3 separate regions of the Mus musculus genome follow, and regions 2 and 3 are each reported to be linked to region 1. The links are microRNA targets in miRTarBase. Many come from high-throughput screens and were not tested one by one. Region 1 holds a microRNA gene; each other region holds the end of a gene's coding sequence. Distances are from middle to middle.
What was found. The annotated mature microRNA mmu-miR-29c-3p reads UAGCACCAUUUGAAAUCGGUUA and lies in region 1 at 1,253-1,274, shown strand. An mRNA with a match to its seed (bases 2 to 7 or 8) in the 3' UTR can be bound and repressed. Matches are read on the target gene's strand: a 7mer-m8 pairs with bases 2 to 8, a 7mer-A1 pairs with bases 2 to 7 and ends in A, and an 8mer does both.

Region 2: the mRNA of Fam126b is a reported target of mmu-miR-29c-3p. Seed matches in the 3' UTR shown: 7mer-m8 at 2,042-2,048.
Region 3: the mRNA of Zbtb5 is a reported target of mmu-miR-29c-3p. Seed matches in the 3' UTR shown: 8mer at 1,010-1,017, 7mer-m8 at 1,163-1,169, 7mer-m8 at 2,350-2,356 and 7mer-A1 at 2,714-2,720.

What each region holds. Positions count from the first base shown.
Region 1 is chr1:195,036,348-195,039,515 of GRCm38, forward strand. It overlaps Mir29c (microRNA 29c), which reads left to right and starts at 1,200; the gene lies at 1,200-1,287. It overlaps A330023F24Rik (RIKEN cDNA A330023F24 gene), which reads left to right. Exons shown (of 8, transcript NR_015566.2): 8 at 1-1,561. It overlaps Mir29b-2 (microRNA 29b-2), which reads left to right and starts at 693; the gene lies at 693-773. It also overlaps a transcript of Cd46 not described here.
Region 2 is chr1:58,526,789-58,529,935 of GRCm38, forward strand. Fam126b (family with sequence similarity 126, member B) reads right to left here. Exons shown (of 13, transcript NM_001310598.1): 13 at 1-3,147. The coding sequence ends at 2,870. All of the region lies in intron 2 of Gm15834 (a long non-coding RNA gene), which reads left to right. Among named protein-coding and RNA genes, the nearest start is that of Gm15834, 23 kb to the left of the region's middle.
Region 3 is chr4:44,990,849-44,994,016 of GRCm38, reverse strand. Zbtb5 (zinc finger and BTB domain containing 5) reads left to right here. Exons shown (of 2, transcript NM_173399.3): 2 at 1-2,775. The coding sequence ends at 647. Among named protein-coding and RNA genes, the nearest start is that of Grhpr, 11 kb to the right of the region's middle.

The DNA.
Region 1 (3,168 bases):
TAAAAAAATATGCTTGTATCTGGAAGCCAAAAAGTTTTTCTGGGGAACCTGAAAAATACAGCTCTACTCTTTGTCTCCTTTCAAAGATGACAGTTGTGACATCAGAGGAAATATACAGCAAAAATGCAGTACAATGTGAAACATAGCTTGTGAATCTTATTTTTAGGTACATTTTTAAAACATACCTTGTTTTGTGTTAGAGGGTTATCTGTATAATACAGTGTTAAGATACCAGCTTTTAAAAAGACATTAGGGGTTAAATCAAATTGCTAGCCTACAGGGTCATGGGATAGAGAGCAGGAAGGAACATACTCTTTTTGAATAATACTTGTGGAAGAGTTGTCCTGGCACAGGTGACTTACTTGGGTTCAGTTGTTAACATCTCATAGGTCATTGTCATTGTCTTGAACAAGTGACATATCTACCGACACTATGCATCTTGGGAAATTACATAAATTCAAGACATTACAAATGTACATATGTTGAATGGATTTGGTTCTTTTATTTCATTGTGTATGATGATTTCTAATGACTAATGTGAAGTCACACAGGAAACAAGCTTTGCATTGTTTTTGTCTGCTCAAAGTGTTGGCTGTATGGCTGTCATCTGCGTCTGACAGGCAAAATGATTCTCAGGGCTGAGGCTGGTTCTTCTGACTGCACATCTCTGCTTTCTTCAGTGAGATCCTCTTCTTCTGGAAGCTGGTTTCACATGGTGGCTTAGATTTTTCCATCTTTGTATCTAGCACCATTTGAAATCAGTGTTTTAGGAGTAAGAATTGCAGCACAGCAGAGGGTAGACTACAGAGGAACAGCTGTACACAGAACTGGCTCTCTCCTTCGAGAAATCAAGGGAAGACTTGAATAGTGACATTTGCTCTTGAGTCTGTTTGGTTTAGAGGCAGTGATAGTGAGAAAGTTTTTGTGTTCAGAATGTATAAGGGTATAATCAGGAAGTGGTCTACTTTATTCAGCATTCCATGGGTGGAAGAGGGTTCCTTGGGCCTGCACTGTTCATTAATTGTAGCAAGGAAGGGGTAAGAGCTCTGTATGTGGAGGACTGCTTCATTCACATCAGTATGGCTCGTCTGAACCTGGAAGATCCATGGAGCACTCATTCAGTCCTGGTTGCAGCACAGCTGAAATCAGACTGTCACCTGCCTTGAGATTCAGACCTGAAGAACACCACCAGTCGGTCCATCTCTTACACAGGCTGACCGATTTCTCCTGGTGTTCAGAGTCTGTTTTTGTCTAGCACCATTTGAAATCGGTTATGATGTAGGGGGAAGAGCACCAGCCTCAGAACCTTGTGGTGTCAGCATCAGCATCAGCCTATCACTTCCTACGTGGGCAGAGTGGAAAAGGAAGATCACAGTTTCCTAACTTCTTTAATTCGTATGTATGTGGCTGCCAAGGTTAGAGATCACTTAGTGGGGGGTTTTAATTGTTATAATTTATTGTTGTAAAATATTCTCAGTTACAATTTCTGACATGTAGTACTGTTATAAACTAAGTACTGTTAAACGTTGGCTTTAATAAATAATTTGCTACATTCAATCTATCATGTCTGTTTTATCTACTATTTTTCATTCATAATTCTATGGCAATGAGAAGTGGTCCCTGGAAAGTTAATTTGCTGTGCCAATCATAAGGAATTGGAAGTAGGTTGCTGCATGCAGACATTAAAAATGAAGGTCATTAAGACAGGAATGAAATTCTAAAGATGAAAGATTAGCAGAGACAGAAGGTTGGAGCTCTAGGCTGAGGGATGTTACTAAATGGGAAGACTATTCTTGGTTCCAAGGGAACTGTGGACTCTGACCCTCCTCCTGTCAGTTGCTGCAGGGAACTTACTTAACTGCACTGTCATGTGGCCCTTAAAGGGGAGCAGGCTAATTTCAGTTGTATTTGTAGCAGAGGGAGTTCTACTTTCCACTGATAGTTTATTTCAACCCTTCAGTAGGCGGTGAAAAAGTTCTATAAAACTGTTCAGAGATTTGCCAGCATTGGGGGTGGTGGAGGGGCAGGGTTCATGATTGGGGAACTTTCAGGAAGAAAGCAGGTGGCCCCTTCCATAGGAGTTGCATAGCTAACTATGAACTACCTGCAGTACAATTATTTCAAGCCAGTAGGTTTTAATAACTAATGGCAAATCAGCTGCTCAGGAAGCTTCTTCTAAGCCTTCATCCCAGTTGCCTTACCCCAGATGGCTGCCTTGCCCATTTTGCTGGAAGTGGGAGGCTGTTGGAGAATTTGCTGGAAAGACTTCCCAGCGACTATGATGCATCCTGCAGCTGCAAAGCTATTTCAAGCCTTTGATTGAAGAATCCATGTTCTAAGTCACATCTAAGGATGTGCTGGTAGGAATAGCTAAGTCCCTCAGCTGTATTTTTTAATTTACCCCACTAAAGTAGGAGACTGCAGCTCCTCTAAGTATGACAGATTGGGTCTGTGGTATTAACTACACATTAAGTCTTTAAAAAAAAAAAAAACATAGCTACTCTGTCCAAAGCTCCCAATTAATTTGTACTGAAAATTTGATTGAAACTCCCCCAGGCCATGATTCTGGCTCTTTAATGAGTTAAGTGCTAGAAAGTTGAATTTAATATCAAAGCACAAAAACAATGATTTAAAATTTATTTCCATTTAGAAAAATCATAATATTCTCATTGAATACTTAAACTTTGCCATATCCTGATGTCCTGAGAAGCAAATTGAAACCAGAACACCTCTCAGTTATTTTTTATCTGGATGCTTATAGCCCTTTACATAAAATTGTCACTCTGGGATAATTTTTCATAATTGGCTAGTAATGTAGGTTTTTTTTTAACAGCACCCTCCTGAATCAGATTTATAAAACCATGCTGTCAACCCAGGTATAAAGACTTTTGTTAAAGCATTAGTTTTTTAAAATTAAGCCTTACCAGACTTTTTAGAAGTGAATACAGTGTATTTTTGTTAACTGGGGGAAGAAAGATCTGCAACCAGTTTAGTAGATCAAATGAATTAAGTTTAGTCCCTAGCATCTTTAAGAAGTTGGTCTAGGCCTTCTGTTTGGAAGCTGGCATATAGTCTCAGGAATAGATAGCACATTGATATTAACATACTTTTAAGGGAAGCCGGAGATAAATCTGTGTTTGATCTGGGGCACATTCTACCTCAGTACCA
Region 2 (3,147 bases), 140 Mb from region 1:
AGATGGCATCAATATAAGACAAATATTTTCCCCTAAATGCTTTTTTTCTACTAGTGCGATGAAGCTTCATGAAAGCTGAGAAATATTAAAGGGAAGTTATTAAAGGTTAAATTATGGACATTTCTAACTTTCTATGACATTTTTAACAGCTGCTGTATAACTGAACAAAAACCATTTTAAATTCAATGATGGTAACATAAAGTGGTTGAAATGATCATTAGAAAACTTGGTAGTTTGTCTAATTTTAATTCATTTCATTTTAACTGTTATCTTACACAGAAAATGTATTCTAAGACCCTTGCTATAAAGTGTAAATGAAGAACTTGTTCATTGAGACCAAATTATAGCCCAAAGAATATGAAGCAAATGTTTCAGGATTGTGAAATATTACTTGGGATGTATATACAAAGTCTACACATGCCAACAAAAAGATGAAAAAAACCTTTTTTTTTTTTTTTTTTTCTTTTCTGAGACAGGCCTTCTCTGTGTAGCCCTGGCTGTCCTAGAACTCCATCTGTAGACCAGGCCAGCCTTGAACTCAGAGATTCACCTGCTTCTGCCTCTGGAGTGCTGGGATTCAAGGTGTATGCCACCATTCCTGATTCTTAAACCAACTCTTCAGTTATGATGTTTCTAATCAAAAGATTTTTTCTCATATTTACAACAGTTTATGCTATACTTTCAAGTTATTTGGTATTCTCTTGTGCTTTATTTAAAATGCTTGGTTTAAATGCCAGTCTGTTACATGTGCGCCTGTGAGCTCCAGCATGAAGTAGGCGTGCTTTGCCATCTAAGACTGATACCTTCCTTATGCACCACAAAGCCTCTCTGTTCAGTAGGTTACAAAAACATTTTATTTTACTATTTTACAATTCTTTTTTCTTTTAAGTTTACTTGATATCTCTTAGTTAAATTAGTAGAAATAGGGCTAAAATGTGTCTGTGATAAATGGATACACATATCATACGCATATTATAAACAATCAATAGATCACATTTCAGCTTTTAGTTTTACTCCAAAGTTTGGCAATGATGTGGATAATAGCTGAGGTTCTAGTTCCCTATTTGCTGGGAGCTGAAAAATGTTATAAACTATCAAATCTAATTAAGGATTATTCTAACACAATGCAGACAGACAGATGGACAGATAGACAACTCCTCCAAAAATGGTGGTTTATGTATGAAAAAAAAAAGAGAGGCGTTTTCCTGGCTATTTAATTTATCAAATTTTACGGTAAATAGAGATAAAACAACTTTGTCAATTAAGAGGACACTTGCTTCCTATATAGGCAGTGTAATTTTCATTCACAATACATAAAATGTCTACATGTACAAGGGTGTGTGTAACTGATGTTCTTGAGATGGGTAATTCATAGCAATTGAAGTCACACAATACTGATTTTTAAAATCCTAATATATTCCCTTCTTTTTCAAACAAAGCCTGAGACCCAGAAGAGATTATAAGAAAGTCTTATCCAACCAAATCACAACAAAAATCCTTTAAACTAATAATGCATTTTTGTAGCCTCTTAGCAGTTACCAAATGCTACTCATTTACATTCAACATCTAGTTTACTGGCATGATTTCAACGTTTTATAAAAACGAGAAACTTTGCAGATAATCAGAAGATACACAAACTGCAATAAACACAAAGGCAGTGTGGTCCTTGTAGAGCAATCAAGTCAGTACCCTCTGGTAGAAATGTTCTATACAAATGTGTCACATAGAAGCATCAGTGTTTTCAACCAATCACCTGTCCCTGATGTGTTTCCTTGGAGTATATGATCTCAGGACTTTAGGTTTCTGTATCCCATATCTGACTGAATCTAGGTACATCTAGGAAGCAGCTGAAAGGGTTTCTCTAGTCTGATATCTCAGAGAGTGGACTGAGAAATCCCTCTCTTTACCTGAAGACGTACAGTGTCTACTTCAGTCATCACCAACTCACAAAGGAAAGGAAGAAAGAAAACAATTATAACTTCACCTCATTTACAATCTCACACAAACTAAACAAACAACACCCTTCCCCCAACAAAGCCCCAGCACCATAATATCAATCATTCCTGGGAAATAGAACACGCCCCTTTGAGTCTCTGATTTGTTAGTTCAAACTTTAAGGGCAGAAATGTCCTTAAGTCCTTGTGGGAGGAGGGAAGACCTGTTGTTAATGACTAGAGAGCCATTGAGAAAGTGCATTATCAATCACACAATCAACTTAGAGCCCTACCCTCCAATGGAGGTGGTCACAAATTGATTTAAATGCCTCAATAATTAAACATTTGTGTCCTTGGGATAAAGTAAGGGGGGCAGTTAGCCTCATTTTAATAAAAAAATTGCAGTAGTCTACCACTTTCCCCCATGCTTCCCAAGAATATAAAATTGCACAGGCTCAGAGAAGCCCAAAGTCATAGCAGAATCTCTGAGGCACTCCTGGTTAGAGAGAAAACATATGATCCAGTTATCTTCATAGTTCATAGATTATGTGAACAAACCCGTTTTGTTTTTAAACAAAAGCCAAAGAATCATTTCATAGGGATCTTATACACCATTTCCTCGACATCTCCTCAGTCTCACAGTGTTGAAATGGGACCGATCAGCCTACGATGGATTGCACATCACCCAAGGAGAAAGGAAGGCATGGAAAAGGCAAACGTTTTACACTGCTTCACAAACACATTTAAGGGAATAGGTAGAGAGGTTAAAAGAAAGGAAAGGAAAACCTTATTGCTGTTTCCATACAAAATACAGTATGAGATACCTAAGCTAAGTCAAATCTGATGACAGTGACATCTTTTCACAATGCGGGATGACGTGTCTTGCACAATGAAATGTTCAGTGTAGAAGGTTAGCAGAACAAGGGGCATCAGAACTACACCTGGGATATTAGCTGCATATTGAAACTTGGGGATCGAGACTGCTTGGTTAAGGGGGCTCCTGGGCTGAGGAGCTCTTTACCTTCACCAGCGTGACCTAGCCGGTCTTCTTGTAGACTGATAGTTGAATATCGATTAGCATTTGTAGCTGCTAGATTAGTAACTCCCTCAGTGCCAACCCCAATGCTGGTACTTGCTTGACCGCCATTTACATAGTCAAAAGATTTACTTGAGGAAGCACTGGCTGTCCGGATTAGACTCAGACTATTGGTTT
Region 3 (3,168 bases), not on the chromosome of region 1:
CCCCTGGTTCCCATGTAGAGAACCCGTTCAGTGAGCCTGCAGACTCCCACTTCGTCAGACCTATGCAGGAGGTGATGGGCCTGCCCTGTGTGCAGACCTCAGGCTACCAAGGAGAACAATTCGGGATGGATTTTTCCAGGTCTGGCTTGGGTCTCCACTCATCCTTCTCCAGGGCCATGATGGGTTCCCCACGAGGAGGGGCCAGTAACTTTCCATATTACCGACGAATAGCTCCAAAAATGCCAGTGGTAACTTCTGTCAGGAGCTCGCAGATCTCTGAAAATTCAGCCAGTTCCCAGCTAATGATGAACGGGGCCACCTCATTTGAAAATGGCCACACCTCCCAGCCTGGCCCTCCTCAGTTGACCAGGGCATCTGCTGATGTCTTGTCAAAGTGCAAGAAGGCCTTATCGGAGCACAATGTCTTGGTTGTGGAGGGAGCTCGAAAGTATGCCTGCAAAATCTGCTGTAAAACCTTCCTGACTCTGACGGATTGCAAGAAACACATCCGGGTCCACACAGGAGAAAAGCCGTACGCCTGCCTCAAGTGTGGCAAACGGTTCAGTCAGTCCAGCCACCTATATAAACACTCGAAAACGACCTGCCTGCGCTGGCAGAGCAGCAACCTCCCCAGCACCCTGCTCTGATCGCTTCTCGCCACAGCGCACAGGCCAGTCTGCACTGAAACTAAAACCGCTGTAGGCAGGCAGCTCTTGTCACTGGACTCGGTCTCACTGTCCAGTGGCTCTCATGAATTTCAGCCAAGAGTAAGCAGAGAACTGTTAGGTGTAGCACTTACCCTGCACATTTCTTAGGGTGGAGGAATGCAGTCCTAAAGTAGGTTGTCATTGTTGTTAAGAATATCAAATTTAAAAATGAAAGTGCAGAAAACATTTTAACACTATTTTAAAGCTCTGTGAAGCATTTAATTAAATGTCCTGTATCCTGTGATGGGAGTATTCCATCCCTGTACAGCAATGCAGAACATACTGTGTGTAACCAGGTGACTTGGTGCTATCTGGAAAAAAAAAAAAAAGGCCCTGGAGGACAAGCATGTCTGGCACAGATGCTTAAAGTGTATCCTGAGCTAGTCCCAGGCCTCTGAAAGTCCTGTGGAGTTTTTATTTGTATCTGAGTTGCAGTCACAGGCACTGCCCTCTGATGGTGCTCACACTGAGTCCAGGGAAATATGCCCTTGGACTAACAGGTGTATAGACTTTCGAATACATCTCTATGGCATAGGTGTTTTTAGTAACTTTTCTGTTTGTTTTAAGAACTAAAGTTGTAATGGAGTGTGTACTTGTAGGAGTGACAGTGAGGTGTTTCTGTTCGTGCTGTGTTAGCAGGGTTTTAACCAACGTGTATTTCTGATACTGTACTTGTTTGATGTAAGTGGGAAGCTAGTGTCCGTCTTTCCTCTGGTGATACGGAGTCCTGTGTATGGGTTCTCACGGCGCATTTGCCTTTCATGCCATCTGGATGCCCAAGGCCACCCAAGATCAGCTGCCCTTGACCTTGTCACGTCTCACTCCCAAGCGCCATAGAACACCTCTCCTGGCGTAGCCAGTTAGACTAACCACAGCAGCGCTGCTGTAGTTTTCTTCCTGTTGCATACGCTCTCACAGCTACACCTCAGTGTTCAGTGGTGTCCCTCCTCTAACTCAGTGTTGAATCAGACTTAACTGTAGGAGTGTTCATGTCTCCTCAGTTCTTCACAGGCTCTGGAAGAGTCAGGCAGCCTACAGCATAGAATTCACCAAAAACACCCAAGATTCTCGGGGTGGCATTCAGTTCTCTGTCCCCTGATAACCATGCTGCCAGGGCTGCTGCATCCTGACATGCACCCAGGAGAATAGCACAGTTTCATGCATATCTGTAAGCTAAAGATGGACAAGAATTTTTTTCATACTTTTTTCAGAGATACCAAACCATTGTACACAATTCAGAGAAATTCATTAACTTTAGAGAGCCACATATTTCTGTATATCCTAAAACAAAAATGAGCATGTGTCTTCTCTTAAGCTGGTGTGACCATGAATCTGTGGCTTGACCTGTAATGCTCTGAGAAGGCATGACATCTGAGCTGATTGCCAGGGAAGCAAGCCCGAATGGCAGGCTGGACTCCTGCTGCTGAGCAGCTGTGGGCAAGACCACTGAAGGCACTGGAGTCACTTGAGAAGATGTTGTGTGGCTGATGGTCAGCAGTCCTGTTGAGACACGATGGGGTGGGTCTATATCACCTTCATAAGGACCAGTGGGAGTCAGCATGGAGAACCAGAGCGGCCCTGCTGGATGAGGAGCCAATGTCACAGGCATAGACTAGCAGTTGTCCTTTCTGTCTTAGGGACGTGGTGCTTCAAGTCTGCCCCTCACCTTGGCTTCGATACAAGTGGGCTTTGCTCTGGGGCCTGTCCCTGGCGCTCAACAGAGCCTGCCTCTCTGCTGCTGGGTGGACCTGGAATCTCATCTACCTCTGTAGTCAGTCTCTCCATGTGAGAAGCAAGCTTGAGGCCAGTGTCCTCCGACATGCCGTAGCACTTAAAGATTTCCAAGGGTCCCTGGGAAACGAGCCCAGGGTCGCTGCAGCCTGGAGTTTCACAGGGATTCTAACGGGGACTGGGGACCTGACTTTTGACTTTTAGCCTTAATTCTAGCCCGGCATAATCATGTACAATCTTTTGGAGGTGGCATCAAGTGTAGGGGCACCCTTTCAGGTGCTAACGCTGGTCAAAACAGATTTTAAAATTAAAACTTTGTCATATCCATGCCTCTAAACACACGGTCTCCTTTGCTTCCGTTTGGGTTGAAACAGAGCAGGGATGCGCTTCTGTACTATACTGCAGCAGTTCGAGCCTCCAAGATAGGACCGCTCCATCCTTGAGTTAGTCCTGCCTCTCTGCAGTGCCCGCTCTGTGGCTGTGTGGGAAGTCCTGCAGTGCGGTGCTTACAGCCTGGCCTTGGGGAGAGTGAAGGGGATTTAAAAGGAGCACCTACCCGGAGCACAGAGGGAGCAGCAGGTAGACACAGACACGGATCAAAACTGGGAACCCTGCTGTCACTACTGCTGACCTACTGTGCTGACCTGCTGCCTCCTCCCTTGCAGTTTTCTCCCCTGGTAGTGTGCTCTTTCGCCGTGGTTACGGTATTGGGTTCAGGCCCTGTGTTTTT